2 linked regions of the Oreochromis niloticus genome follow. The protein of the gene in region 2 purifies or fractionates together with the protein of the main gene of each other region. This does not show direct contact. Links are inferred from orthologs where the notes say so. Each region holds a gene or a part of one and is shown on either strand. Other genes may lie near its edges.

Evidence for each region. Proteins that work in one complex are often made in the same cells at the same time.
Region 1: the proteins of ocrl (region 2) and pheta1 purify together in Homo sapiens (co-immunoprecipitation; 5 studies listed by BioGRID and IntAct, counting the BioPlex papers as one, with this or other methods). This does not show direct contact. The link is inferred for Oreochromis niloticus from reciprocal best matches to the Homo sapiens genes OCRL and PHETA1.

What each region holds. Positions count from the first base shown.
Region 1 is NC_031977.2:24,418,756-24,426,750, forward strand, and holds the start of pheta1 (sesquipedalian-1), read right to left. Parts: upstream 3,274-7,995; 5' UTR 3,134-3,273; intron 2,676-3,133; 5' UTR 2,574-2,675; intron 1-2,573. UniProt on the Homo sapiens protein: Plays a role in endocytic trafficking. Required for receptor recycling from endosomes, both to the trans-Golgi network and the plasma membrane.
Region 2 is NC_031966.2:18,622,854-18,630,414, forward strand, and holds the start of ocrl (inositol polyphosphate 5-phosphatase OCRL), read left to right. Parts: upstream 1-4,107; 5' UTR 4,108-4,489; coding exon 4,490-4,531; intron 4,532-5,047; coding exon 5,048-5,127; intron 5,128-7,561. Other genes in the region: si:ch73-335m24.2 (protein eva-1 homolog C), read left to right, coding at 1,186-1,571. UniProt on the Homo sapiens protein: Catalyzes the hydrolysis of the 5-position phosphate of phosphatidylinositol 4,5-bisphosphate (PtdIns(4,5)P2) and phosphatidylinositol-3,4,5-bisphosphate (PtdIns(3,4,5)P3), with the greatest catalytic activity towards PtdIns(4,5)P2.

The sequences.
Region 1 (7,995 bases), on a different chromosome or scaffold from region 2:
TTTCAGAAAAGGTCAGAGCCGTGGGGCAGGAGTTAAAAACGAGTCACTGAATGTTGCACTCTTGGGAACTTTAGAAAGGGCACATGCTCGCAAAGTGGACTTCAACCTATTCCTGTTCTTCTTCTCCCCGCTGAGCCATCCTGCCAATGTAAACACTGTCCATTTACTTTGTTTTACCTGTCATAACACCAACAGAGCGCTGCAGCACGCATAAATACTGCAACTCCCTGGAAGTGCAAGACAAATTGAAAGTCTAACTTGCACAGCATGGACAGATTAGTGCGTTACATGCTGTTTAATCACACGTTCAACTGTAAACTGGGGCTCAGATTACCTCCTGCTAATCCAATTTTACTCCTGTTAGGAAACAGAAGCAAGGCACTTTATTATCTTGTTTGCAGTTAATAGCTTGTTTGTATTATTGCTTTCGCTTTTGGTAATGAAGCTATTATCTGAGGACCATGAGAGTAAGCTGGAAGGGAAACTTGTATGGGAGGCAGTGGAAGTCATTGAGGAAGATGTGGTGGAAGATCGGGCTGGAAGAAGGAAAACGGTGGCACGTAGGAAGGTGGTGGAGCAGGATGTCCACCTTGGTGTATTCTCTCGAGCTGCTTGATGGTCAAGCAAGGCTCCTCCGAGTGCTCAAGATTCCTTAATTTTCTAGTCCTTGAAATTCTACAAATGTTTTTTCTTTTCTTTTTCCTTTTTAAAATTTAAACTAGATATGTACTGCCTTAGGATACAGGAGAAACCCCACGTCGATAGTTTTCCCAAAATGGGCATCAATACCCCATCAGACACATTCACCTTCGCACATGCTATAACTCATGTTTTTTATTTTCTTCCAACATCAGAATAAAAACAGGAGATACCAGTTAAAAAGCTCAGATGTATGGGCTATTCCCTGTCAGGTTCACTGAGTATGCACTAAGTTTATTATAGTTCATTAAAACTATAATAACTTAGATATGAAACAGTATTTTAGTTAACTGAGATATAAGTACTTTCCAAAGGTCTCGAGTCACCCCTCATGTCTTTATATATTTTGCAAGGACAATGGTAAACAGTTGCAGTGATTTATTGAAACATGCAAAGGTGACAGGAAATACAGCCTATACAGTGTTGAAGACATTCAGAGCTCCTCTCTGGATGTTGGCTGCCTTTTGTTGTGTTCTCTGTTAAGATCATTGTTTCAGTAATCACTAATAACTTAACGCCCACTCACATCCTGGGCCATCTGACCTCAGGAATTCACATGACAAGGTAGGGCCAGGTTTCACAATGAGCTCACCCGAAACCTTGGCTGATTAGGTCCCACACCCGCTTTCACACCTTGGCGCATGTGATTAGAGGATCACCAGGGGGTCCTTTGTCCCTCCTTGGGGGGATACTCCCACTGGGTTTAAATCTGGGACTCTCGGCCATTTGACCTTAGAACTGAAGAAGCTTCTCGGATGAGAGGTGAAACGTCTTCAAGCAACTTAAAGAAGTCCAGACGCTTTTCTTTGCAAACTCCTTTGACTACGATGACCTGGATGAATGAGAACCTTCACAGACAGTAATCACTAATAATTGCTTCCATCAGACCCGTTTCCACTGATTTTCAGTTCTTCTGTAATTTGGCATTCCTTTGCCTTTTGTGTTTCCCTTCCTTAAAAAATGGCTTCTTGACCGCCATTCTTCCACTGAGGCCATTTCTGATAAGGCTTCATGGAACAATAGACGGATCAACTGAAGAGCCAGATGCATCCCTCAGATCTTGTGTCAGATTTCTTTTCTGTTTCTTTGGAGCACTGTTCATCATTTTTAGATACTGTTCATCTGCTGTAGTTTGTTTGTTTTTTTTAAAAAAAACCCTGCCTCTTCTTCTTTTTTCCTCCTCTTGTCCAGTTACCTTATGTGCTTTAAGGACACACTGTATGCCATGCCAAGATATGCCAGGTTTTCAGGTAATAGCTCTTTTGGAATCAACCTTTTGGTGCAGGAATGTCATTTGTGTGCCTTTCAAACTGTTATCTTTGGCATTTTTCACAGATTCATTTGAGGAAATTGGAACAAATTATGTGTTTTTGCAACAGGCTGCTAGTAACAAATTTTCTCAAGATATTTAAAATTGGTTCTTTGCCAAGTTGACAGACAAGTTGTAGACAGAACACTGGTTCATCCTTTGAGTCAGGTGCCATTTTTATGCTTTAATGACTCATAGGTCAGTGTTAAGTGACCTAACATGCACTGAAAATGAGTGAAAGAGAACCAAAGAAAAACTTTGCGAGACCTTCGGAAAGGAAAAAAGAAAGAAAAAAAACTACTATAAAGTCTGGCTGCTTGGAAGGGAAAATATAAACATATGAAGGGTAGCTAAAGACTTTTGAACAGTACTGTAAACCTTTGAAGCGGAGGTGGACAACAGGATCTACCAGTTTTGGCAGTCAAGAGGTAGCAAAGTGTTTGTAACACAGATTCTTAACTTAAATCTACCCCTGACAAATAAATATGCAAGTAAGTTAAAAGTAAAACTAAGAGTTTAAAACACGGCTTACTGACCGTCCAAACAAAACCCATCCCTTACTTACGTGCTTGTCTCATATCCAGCCGACATCCACCTCCGTCCTCCCATCACATCTGGAGCTCTTAACTGGACCGTCTCCCACTTCTTCGCCCTTCTCGAGTAAATACTAAAAAAAAGACCAAAGTAACGAGTTTTATTTCACGTTTATTTTCACTCAGGAAGCCGCATAAACGACAGAATCCAAGAGGAAGCGGCCAGGTCAGCGTCCTCGCTCGTTTTAGACGTTAAGAGGATTATTAGCCACAACTTTTTCCACCGCTTCGTGTTTTTTTGGAGCGAGTGATTCAGTATGAAGGAGGGCTGACTGGTCACAAGCTTTTGACACATCAGCACTTTACAGGAATTCCTGCTGGCCTTCAATAACACAGCGACGGCAACACGAACGAGCGTGCTTGAAGACACATCTCTCAGTGCCAACTAGCTTCACGCCTTTAGCCTCTTTCGTGGAAACAAACATGCATCCAACGTCTGTGCAGCCCGCAGACTGCAGACGAGCTGTTAGAGGTGGACTCTCACAAGTTAGGACAATATTATAATAACCAGCTAAGTGTTAGTATTCATTACCTCCACGTAAACAGAAAACCTCCCTCTTCTTCCAAGCGGGTAGTCCCACAGTTTTTTTTTTGATTTTCCCTTTCTCTCTTCCTCGCCTCTTTCTTTTTTCTTCTTTTTCCCCGGTCACGTGACACTCTAACAGAGCGCGCGTTGTGCTTAACCCTGCCAGCTTGACAGGGCGGGGTGATCACTTTAGCTCTCGTGCCGTCCTGGTGAAACAGCCGTCCGGATAAGCAGTAATATAAAACAGGCGCGCCTGTCTGTGCCCTTGGAAAGGTGGCTGCTGACTGCTCCACCTGCACGGATGGAGCGTTGCTGGATATAAAGGTCTGTGCAAAAGTCTCGAGTCACCTGTCATTCCTTTATATTTAGGGTTTAAATAGAGTTTGTATTTAAAAAGAAAATGTATTGAGCAATAATTCACCAGGATTTCGGAAGGTCTTTCAAATTTCCTCTTTATGTCTTTATGCCTGACCATTTTCATAGACATTGTTTTGTTTATTGGGCCACTTAACACTGAGCTATGTATCATTCGAGCATGAAAAAGGCACCTAACTTAAGGAATTAACCAGTGTTGTGTCTACATCACAAAGAACTTGGCAAAGAACTGGTTTTAAATTGTATCTCTTTAGGCACTTTGTTACCAGCAGCCTGTTGTAAAATAGTATTTGGTACTAACAAGCTGATTCCCAAAAAACTATTAGCCTGAAACTTGGAATACCTCAGCACTTTGTGCAGTGTGGCCTTAAAAAAATGAGGAAATTGGACAAACGGAGAACAAAAGAAGATCTGGCCTATAAGTGATATCCTTAATAAACGGGAAAAAATCTAGCAACAGGATCCTGAGAGATCCCTCCAGATGATCCAGCTAATGTTTGGAAATGGTCTCAGTGGAAGGATGGCTGACATGAACCCTTTCTTAAGCAGGGAGAAAAGGCTGAGGTATGCCACATTTCACAAGAACTGGACTGAAAATCAATGGCAACAGGACTTGTGGAGTGATGAATCCAAATTTGCTTCACTAATATTGATGCAGTGATCTTGACAGACAAAAGACACCCAACATCCAAAATACTCCTTCAAGAAACCTGGTTAACTATTCCTGAAGAAATAACAAGAAAGCCTTTCTAACCGAGTTCAGGCCATGATGCACAACAAAATTGATCATATTAGATGTCAATTTTCAAGCTTGTTGAAATTTGTAGGGTTTTTTTTTCTCCCTTATTTACTGGATTTTCATGTATGCTTGCACATATTTTAATTAATCACCGCAAGTGTTTCCCATTTTCACTGCAAAACATAAAGAAATTGGCGACTTAAGACTTTTGCATGGTATTGTATTAATCTGAAACATTGTTTTAAACAGTCAGTAGCTTCTCGGGATTCATGTGGTCCAGATCTGACAAGCCTAAGAGTAGTTGTTTTTACTCTAGACATTATCTGGTCTCTTGATGTGGTTTGATGTGGACTAAATGGAAAATACGAACACCAGCCTCCCTTCTTGTGTTTTCACTCTTTCTCTGTAAATCCAATCGACTTTAACAAGTGCCTGGATAACATATTTTGTTAATCATATTTCAAGTAAAATAATCACATATTATGGAAATTACTGCCTCAGCATTCAAAATATATTTAACATTCTCCAATCAGTAGGGCTATTGGTTTCTAAATTTTTAATATTGTAACTAAATAATCATAGCTTTGTTATATATCAGTAACACATTCATTATAGTATCATAGCATCACGAGCATCTTTAGTTTGTTCTGCTTTGTGAAAATTTGCACATTTACTATAATTACAACATAAGGCACCCCGGGATTAAAGGCAAGTAGTTTTTTATTGTCATGGCCTGATTCCCATTCACTTGGGTTGCAAACAGCTGCCCAGCTCTGTTGCAGTCCTTTCATGGAGAGCCCTGCTTGAGGGCACTCCAAAAGGCAGAGTTAAAGATATCTTTTTGTCATGCACATTCTTAGCAGAGCTTTCCACTTCATGCATTTGAACTTATGATGTTCCCCGCTGTCCTCTAGGCCACCGCTGCCCCGTTCCTGTAACCCTGTCACTTTTATGGCACTGAGCTGCTGGCTGCGGTCTGTTTTTGCATGACCATGACAAGCCGCCATGAATTCATCTGAATTATTCTAATGAATACGATATTCTGAATATCTTCGGGAGACAGCTGATGGCCTTTAGCACTGCCAGCTTGCTATCTCATCACACTAATCTTCAATTAGCTGATGCAGCTGCTGATGCCATTTTCTGTCATTCTCTTTTTGAAACGTTTGCTCTCACTGCTTTTTGGTAACTTTGATGAAGTGTGATGCTCTCGGAGGCGGTTTAATTTCCTCCGTTGGGCTCCCGGTTCACAGAGGCTCAACATATCCGAGAGATAAACGCAGAAGAGGACAGCTTTTAATAGAGAATACAGACATAAAATCAGCACTAAAAATATTGTTAGGTTTAAAGTACACACACTCACACGCACACTGACCAAGTGCAAAGTGTTTACTTCTCACAAGTTATTTCCCAACAGTTTGTGGACACACAATAAAATATCACAAACAACTTTTTGAGACATTCCAATCAGCTTTAAAAGTGATTCATTGCTGAGTCAGAGTTTAGTCTTTAATTCAGTATCTGAACAAAGAGGTGAGGTTTACAAGTGTGTGATGCCTCTAATCTAAATGTATCAAGGGGGTGTGTTAATAAAAAAAAAAAAGTTGCTCACCAGCAATCATGTTTGCATGAAATACCAGTGAATGCCTCTCATCTAACCCCCCAGAAACGCTATTTTTGTGTGGAATATCTTCAGCATACTAAATGAAATCATGCAACATTTTATGTTCATACTGTGGATATTTTCCGAGTTACAGACCTGAAATGAGTACATGGAGCAGGTGGAAATTTAGTCGCCTTTTAAGTCGCCTTATTTTTTTACAGCATTTTTTTTAGACCTCCATGTACTTCTTAAGTACATGAAGTACATGAAATTCTCAGAGTGGAAAAACACATTTAACCTTAACCAAATGAATTTTACTTCCACCCACCTAGAAGAATTCACCAAACTGTAGGTACAAAGCAGACCTTTCATGCTGTTGGTTTTTACCAGTTACACACATGGTGATATCATTAAACTAGAGCCTGACTGATGTAGGACTTTTAAGATACCCGTACTTTGTGATTTAAAAAGTCTGATATATCGGCCAATATTTCTTTTCTTTCAGACACACATATTTGTTTGTAGTTATTTATTTACTCCTTTATGCCGACTCTGTTCAGAAAGGCTGTTTCTGGCATTCCAAATAAGTTGCAAAGTGCCTTCTGCAGCTTCTCTACGCAATATCAACACTCATACCATAGTTGACGGGTGTTTCTGTTACTCTACTTCACAGACGTTAAATTAGTACAATTTTGCTACCGAAACGGTGATTATATTCCATAATACTGATGCTTACAGTTGGTTTTAGAAAAAAATATGCTGAATTGGCTGTAGATGGGGACACTTGGAGTGGGTATAGAATTTATTTAATTGCAGCTTTTAACTGAGTTTAATGCCTTCTCAGTGCTGAAAAGGTAATTTGGTTATCTCCTGTGGTGAAATTGCAAGGAATGAAAAGTGAAGGAAAAAAAAAGTTTTAACCCTTCTCTACTCTGATGGCCAGTAACTAATTTTCATTGTACTAAACCTTGCATGATTTCATTTAGTATGTAAGTTATTGCATTTTTTGTTTAGCTGATTTTTTCGGATGTCAGGTGGGAACTTTGATGAGATTTGACTGATTTTCTATGTATATACTGTATATATTTGATCTATTTTAAAGCAATAGTCATCTTGTTACTCTGTTTCTTTATAACTCATTTGGTTTTTATAAGTGCTATATATAAAAGCACTTCATCATTTTTTAATTACCTATGACTCATTACCCAGAGCAACATGGAAATTTGTCAGGTTTATATTGACGTCAGGATTGACCCGATGCATGAGGGAGTTAGAGGGAATATTTCTTAACTCTGTTCTGGAGGGCAGAAAATCCAGCATTTCAGGCCCACTACCAGGCAGCCTCTCCACAGAAATGCATAGAAAAACACAGTGATGGCAGGACAAAGTGAAGAGTCAGTCATGCGTTCATTCAGTCCCATGCCTCTCTTCTGATAAAGCACAACTAGGTATTTGGTTTTCGTCACGTTTCATCTCTGCATTATATTTTCTTCCTCCCGCTGCAGCCCACATTGTAAAGTTTCTCTAAGTTATAATAGTTAAGTTTTTCATTCATGTAAACACGATTCGGTATGTATAAATAACTCATCTGGCTCTGCCCTGAAAAACATATACCTCGAGGGAATGTCAGCTTTCATCAAAATACCTCTCAGTCATCCAACACAATATCAAAAATATCATCTCTTTAAATGTTAAAGTCTCTGTAGAAAAATGCCTGAAATATACATGTATATTTGTATACAAACAAAATTTGATGCAAATTATTACTTCTTCAATAACCCTTTAAAGCTGTAACTATGCCAAACTGTACTGAATCTCTGCATGTCATTGTGAAATAAACACAGCTTGCATGGCACCAGATGAGCGGATAGATTTTGATGTACAACGAACATAATGTCTGGACAAGGATCAGTGACCGCATCATCAACCATTTCAAAACACGAGTCTTTCCAAAAACATGCTGTGGTTGTGCATATGGCACGTACTGACATAGTTATTATTTTCTCCTTATCTGCAGTCCAGCAGAGAGCGTTTCGCTCCCAGGCAGAACTGTTGGGCTCTCCAGACACAAACAATTACAATTCTTAAAAGGCAAATTCCATCGGTTGAGTGGAGCTATTGATTTCCATCTGAGTACGCACAAAGCAAAAA
Region 2 (7,561 bases):
TGATGCCTGTGGATGTCAGGCTACAGCCACATATATATCGCTCATGAGTGCTGTAGTCGAAGTGAAGTGTGGGTGTTCAAGCACGTTGGTGGACACAGTCGAGATACTGAGCTCCAAACTGACATGGAAAAATAAGAAGAGGTGTTGAATTAAATGAAATGTAGTGTTTTTAATTTGATTTAGAGTAACTGGAAGCCTTTATATACCATCTGTCTATTTTCTTAATTGCTTATCTAGCCTAGTGTTGCAGGGGCTAACATATATCTCAGCTGTTACAGATAGAGAGGTATGATACTGGACTGACATTCATATAGCACTTATGTACTCTTTACTGGCCACTTTAAACCACAATCCACATTTACTTTTTACTCTGCACACTTTATGCAATTCATCTACCTCACATCCACAGCCAATTTTCACTCACCACTTAACCTGACATGCATGTGTTTGTACTGCTGGAGGAAGCTGGAGAGAATCCACACAGGCACAGCAAGGACATGCAAATTCCACACAGGAAGGCTCCAGCCAGCCTCTGCTTATCAGTGTGCCAGCCACTTGTCTGTGCTGATAGGTTTTGTCTTTTCTGCAGTAATCTAAAATTTGCGTACATATTTCTGTATTATTTCCATTTTCCAAATCATATCATTAGTAGCATATTATCTTTAAAAAATATTTTTTCCTAATTTCAGTCTATTTATGTCCTTTCAGTTTATTATGACATGTTATATTCAACTTGGACATAGACAAAACAGTTATGTTTTTTTCCCCTTGGATCATACATTAACATGCTGGTGGAAAATCCAAATATTAGCCATTATGTACTCTAACATAAATAATCATATATGGTTTTTCCAGGAATGATCCTAATCCAAAGCCAATACTGTGTCTTTGTTTTTACAATACTGCACTGCCCAGGAAGATTTTTCAGCTAAATCAGTTTCGAACATTATTAATATGAATATAAAAAAATATAGATACAAATTATTTGGATATTTGAACTGAAATAGGAGCACTTGCAAATCGATTTTGATACATTACTCACATGAAATGAATTTAGTGGTTTCTTTGAAAGGTCACACCTTGCATTAATAGTGTTTTCTAAAGCAATTTGAGAAAGATGAGCTGAGTGGACACTTGTGGCTTATGCCGGCAAATTTTTAATTTCCTCACACATGTCTCTTCCAGGTCTCCCAGAACGAGTCGCTCTCTACTTTGTCTCAGGCATCTGCGCTGGTCTCGTGTTCCTGCTCTGCCTGTTTGGCGTTCGCTCCACACTTGTGAAAGACGTTAAAGATCTGGTTTCTGACCTGAATGATGAGCTGAAAGCATCTCGCAGACAACGCAAGGAGCTCATGGAAGACCTCTGCGAAGATGATGTCTCTGACACATCACCTTTCCGCCGCCTAACACAATCCTACCGGACAACTGACATCTTCAGTCCATCCACTTTAACAGTAGAGATGGTTGAGTGGGAGGAGGAACAATCTAGAGATCTGCCGAATGGAGACATTTGGCCACACAGAGACTCCAGCCCTTACGCTATTCACAAGATAAAAACTTACAACAACTGAGAGTAAAGTATCAGTATACTGCTTTAGAACAATAGTTGCTAACTGAAATCATGCTGAGATGGTGCTTTTACTATAAATTATGCATTTTACTATAACTTATGGACCTATTATGCTCATTTCCAGGTCCAAACTTTCATTCCTCTACTCTTCTAGAGGAGCTTTGCATGACTCAAAGTTCAAGATAATCCTTATTTATCTTGAGCTGGGTCCTTAGTTCATTCACAGCCTGAAACGAGCCATATGAACTCCTCTTCCTCCAAGCCAACTTTCTTCTGTTTGGGTGCCCCTCACAAACTCAAAGCTTAAGCATTAGATGGTTGGGTCCTAAGTGCCAGAGATGAACTAGGGAAGTCCCCAATTTTTGACATTAGGCAAAGCCAAGAGTAGAAAATAAAGTCTGAATTTGAGTGTTTAGAACAGCCTCATTATTTAAAACCAGTTTAATCTGAACACAAATCACAGTAATGAGGTATATGTGACAGAAAATAGGGGAAAGGATGATAGCTTCTCTTTAAATGTAACTGAACCTCCTAATCTGTCACAATGCATGATGACACTACTAAAATGCATAAAAACCTAATGGTGGTTGATTACAATCATAAAGGTTAATATCACATGTTTGTTGTTTCAATGAATTTCAAATGCAGCTGTGTTTTATGGAATAACAGTGGACGGTGCCACTGATTTAATTTGAATAATTTCAATGCATTTTTGCAGTTACATTATGGAAAAACAGTATTTTCAGTGCAGTGTGTGACTAATAAATCATTGGGTGAGTTAATTCCATTTTTAATGTTTCATTAAAACGTACAAAAATAAAGCTGCTCTTTTGCAGGGGAAACATTTCATATTATTGCTGAAAGATGGAGAATTAAATGTAGAACAGTGCAAAACCAAATCATCAAAAATAATTATATAAATTGAATAATTTTCAAATTTCTACTAACAATTATATTTTGATTCTTTGTTAAATTGTGTCCCTCTTTGAATTAATTAAAGTGATTATATCTGATTAACTGATAGAACTACAACACTGTGCAAAAGTCCTGACCCACCCTTTATTTCTTTATATTTTGCTTCCAAGGAGCTAGATGTTCTTATAATTTTTTTGGTCTAAGCAGTTGTTCTCCAGGCTTTCTGAAGGCCTTTCAAAGTTTTTCTTTTCACTTATTTTTATTCCAGCTCTTGTACCTGACCATCTTTAAAGGGATGTTTTTTGAGACATCATGAGAAATGTCTCAGTGTTGTTGATGGTCACAATTTATGAAGTCATGAATGCAATTGTACATGAATTGTACAAGTAGCCTGGAGAACTTTAAAAAGTTTTTATGATGAAAAAATTAGTCTGATATCAGATATTGATTAGTGGGTAGAGGGATTTAAAAGTCTGGATCCAGGAAATGGAAAAACATACTCAAAGTCTTTGCACAATTGCTCTCAGAAATACATCCACTGAGGAAAGAATCAGTGTTTAAACTGTGAGGACAGTTCAGCTGAAGTCATTATAATCATTAAAATCACAGTCTGAGATGAATGAAATGACTGTTAGTGAAACTGCTCTATCACAGCTATCACATGACATAGCGTGTGATGAAGACTGCTTAATTTGAAGGGGTCACAAGTCAAAGCGGATGAAACCTTGACTTGAGCTTATTATATAATACTACATACTGTAGTATATTCTAACTAGGCAGCTCATTTCTTTCTCTTTAAAAAATACTTTATTTAAAGATATAACACACCTTCAGTTGTTGTGAAATGTAAAACTGATCAGAGGGCAAATGTGACTGATTTTTGAATGCAAACTGTAATGTGATATTTATAATCACCATATACTTCTATCCTTTCCAATTTTGCCAGTACCAACACACAATTTTATGTAAATTTTTAAAGATAAAAGACAGTATAAGTTTTATCTTATTTGAACTGGAAAATGAGGTCCAATATTTAAAATCCCTATATTTCTATATGTTGTCAATTAAACCAATGGCATTAAGAAATATAGTTTTAAATAGTTCTATAGCAATATTACTTTGAGGTGCAGATCAGTCTATTTAACTTAGAGTTTGGAGGTCAAATTTGAATGGATTGTTTAGATGACCACACAATACACTCCAATAAATTTGATAAGAATTAATTTAATTTTTAAAAAACTATCGTGTTTACAGAAAGAAGGAAACGCGTAAAAACACTGCCAACCCCCCCAAAACACATAACCTCCTTGGTGGCGGTAATATTAAAAAAAAAAATGTAAAAGCGATTGTATTAGTTACACCTCATGCCTATTAATGTGGGACAAAACACCTTTCGGACATTTTTAATCCCCCAAAGAGGATGTGTGAAACTGGAAAGTAAATTATATGCAGATAATATTGTTTTACCACACGATGTCGCAGGGGTTTCTTTATATTTGTCAGGGCTGGGAGGCTTACTCACTTAGTATTGCACTCCGATGCAGAAGATGGCGTTATTAAGCTCATACTCGAAGCCAACTGCCGCAAAAAACCAGGATGATGAGTCCTTAAGCAGGGAGAGGAGCGGCAGGAGGAGGGAGTCCACCACATATCAAACTCTGTGCTGTAGCATATGCGGCTAAATCATAAAACTGCCAGCTAAAGCTATGTAGCCTGTGCAACCTGCTCTCTGGCATTCACGGGGACACGAGAAGAGCCGGGGTTTTCTTCTTTCTTTTTAAAGTTTCTAACTGTGATATTTTTAATACTATCCGGGAACAGCAGCAGCAGCAGCAGCAACAACAACAACAACATCATCAGCTGGCGTTTAGCATTAGCGGCCAAGCTTCCCGGAAGGAGGCCGCCGCAGCGCCGGGTGGAGGTTTAACTTTCCCTGCCCTGACGTCCGCACCGAAGTGATATAAACCCAAATGATAAACTGATATTTATTTCCTCTCGGTAAGAATGGATTCCTCTTTGGGGATATGCGGCGAGGAATGCTTGGCAATATCCTTTCTGAGTTCTGGTATTTTTGGGCTTGTTTTTTTTGGGGGTTTTAGCTTGTTAGCTAACGTTAGCTTTTAGTGAAGCCCATTAGGCAACGTTAGTAATTCAGTAATATGGAGATATTTAGTAACCGTGCACTTAAATAATCATGTTATAAAGTAGCTACAGCTCACTTTTAATCCAGTTCATTGCTAACCGCACAGATATATGACCAGTGTCATGCAATTAACGCTAATTAAAATCACTTGTACAGAATAACGTTAGCCATCCTTACACCTTTACACCCTTAAGCTAAAAGTATTACCTGCACTGGCACCAGCAAACCCAGCATCTGCAGTGCTTTGTCCCACCTCCTGCTCTTTTCTTTTATTACCTTAAGTTGCCCACCTTTTAACTGGCATGGCTTGTTCTAACCCTTCAGAGTATCTGTAGTGTAATCTCAGTTTACAAAGCCTGGGGTGACAGTCACTAGTTTCTCATTCTCAGTCACAATAATTCCTTGATTGTGCTGCTCACACTGTAAAATGCCTGGAGGTGAGGTCTGGCCAGAAGGAGCCCAGACTCCTGTCACTAATTGAACGCGGTGGAGAGTTTATGTAAGTATCAATGAACCAAATGACTGAAAAACAATGTGATTTTTGTCAAGCAGTAGATAAACCTATTGAGAATCATAAGTAGTGGTGATGAGTTGTTGAAACAATTTGAACACTCTTAGGCATTTACTGCAGCACCTAGTTTGTGAGAACTCGTAAAGCTGTGGTTTATAGCATATCTGAGGTGTCTGCGCTACTCTGGGTTTGTCTTTTATATTTCCTCCTATCTCTGACCCACAATTGCTGTGATATCGGTATGGTTCAAAATACACTCTGTTAGGTCAGAAAGGTGTGTGCCATGATAGCGTCACACTGAGTACTTGGCAGGATGATAGATAATTATATAGTTTAACTGGCCACTTGGTTAGGTACTAATAAGATGGCAGTAACTCAGTGCAGTAAGGCATGTAAATATGGTCAAGAAGCCCTGCTGAAGTTCAAACTGAGTATCAGAACACGAAAAAGAGGTTATTTATGTGACTTTTATTGTAGTGTGGTTGTTGGTGCCTGATGGGCTGGTCTGAGTATTTTAGAAACTGCTAATCTACTGGGATTTTCCAGCACAGTCATCTTTAGTGTTTACAATGTGTGGCCTGAAAAAGAGAAAATATCCAGTGAGCTGTAGTTCTGTGGGCAAAAGTGCCTTGTCAGAAGTCTGACTGGTCAGACTGCTTTTAGCTCATAGTCAGATATCCACTCATTACAACTAAGGTATGCAGAAGAGGATCTCTAAACACAGAGAGCTGAACATCATTTACACACCACAGCCTTCCTGCATATTGTTGCTGACCATGGCCACCCATTATGAACACAGTGTATCCATCTTCTAATGGCTGTTTCAGGCAGGATAGCAGACCATGTCACAAAACTCAGATCATCTCAAACTGGTTTATTTAACATGTCCGTGAGTTTCCTGGTAGTCAAATGGCAGGTCTCAATCCAATAGAGCACCTCTGGTATTTGTTGGAACAGGAGGGTTGCATCATGGATGTGAAGCTGCCATGTCTGCAGTAGCTGTGTGATACTGGCTCAAGAGTTGGGAGTTCGCCTTGTAATCGGAAGGTAATCGGAAGGTTGGCGGTTCGAGCCCCAGCTTGGACAGTCTCGGTCGTTGTGTCCTTGGGCAAGACACTTCACCCGTTGCCTACTGGTGGTGGTAAGAGGGCCCGGTGGCGCCAGTGTTCGGCAGCCTCGCCTCTGTCAGTGCGCCCCAGGGTGGCTGTGGCTACAATGTAGCTTGCCATCACCAGTGTGTGAATGGGTGTGTAAAGCGCTTTGGGGTCCTTAGGGACTAGTAAAGCGCTATACAAATACAGGCCATTTACCATTTTACCATTTACCATGCCAATATGGAGCAAAATTTTTCCAGCATCTTTTTGAGTCTATATATAAAGAATTAATGCCATTCTGAAGGCAAAACTGGGTCTAGCCAAATATTTGCAAGGTGCTCCTAGCAAAGGGCCTGTTGAGTGTAGTTGGATTATCTTTTTAGGGTGTTATCTAACCAATAGATCTTGCAATCAGAAAAGCAAAATGATGCATGGCTATGACAAATGATCTGAGAAGTGCTCTTCAGTGGGGCAGGAAGAAGTACAAAGAAAAATAATCCAGGAATAATTGATAGATTTTATGTGGTAAAGGTAATCATAAAAAATTACTATCTGTCTTCAGGTAAAAGATAAGATAAGACTTACTTACTTAAAAGTAGGGGAATTCCTATCTCAGGCTTTCTCATGGTTCATGATTTGATTTTACCTGAGAGAGTGCCTCAGTATGTTTCTGTTTCTATGTTTTCACTGTATAATATCTATCCAGATTTCCTGGATTTTGTTCTATGTAGATTTTATAGTTTCCTAGGCTAAATCTAAAAAAAAAAAAGCAAAATGAAAACTGCCAGAGAATCTGAAACAAATGCAACATAACATAGTCAGAAATTTTTAGTGGCAGATGTCATGCAGCCCAGCTAAAAGACTGAATGCTGCGTTTTTAGTGACTTTATGGAGCTCTTCCTCTGAGTTCAGAAGGACACTTATAAGGACGATGCTGCCTGTGGGGCTGTGGTGATATGGTTGAGTGTTCCAGTCCCTTCAGCTGATGTAAACTTGCTCCACACATACCACACCACTTCCTAGTTAGAGTTTACTCAACAACTTGTGCGTAACACTTAGTTTGTGTACTTTTTACACCCCCTAGCATTTGTTCGGGTTATGTTGTGACAGTGGGGGTTATTTTAAATTGTCACTGTGGCTTGGGTTGTTAAGCTTTTCTTTGCACCAGCAGGCAGCTCACTGCAGATTATCCAGAATTCCTTTGCTTCCTAGGCTGTAATGAGACTCACATGAACACACAAGCTACATGCTCAACTAAATCTATTAAAAAACACACTAAACTAAGAAGTAGTCCTTACAGGGAGAAATGACTAGATAAGCAGATTCTG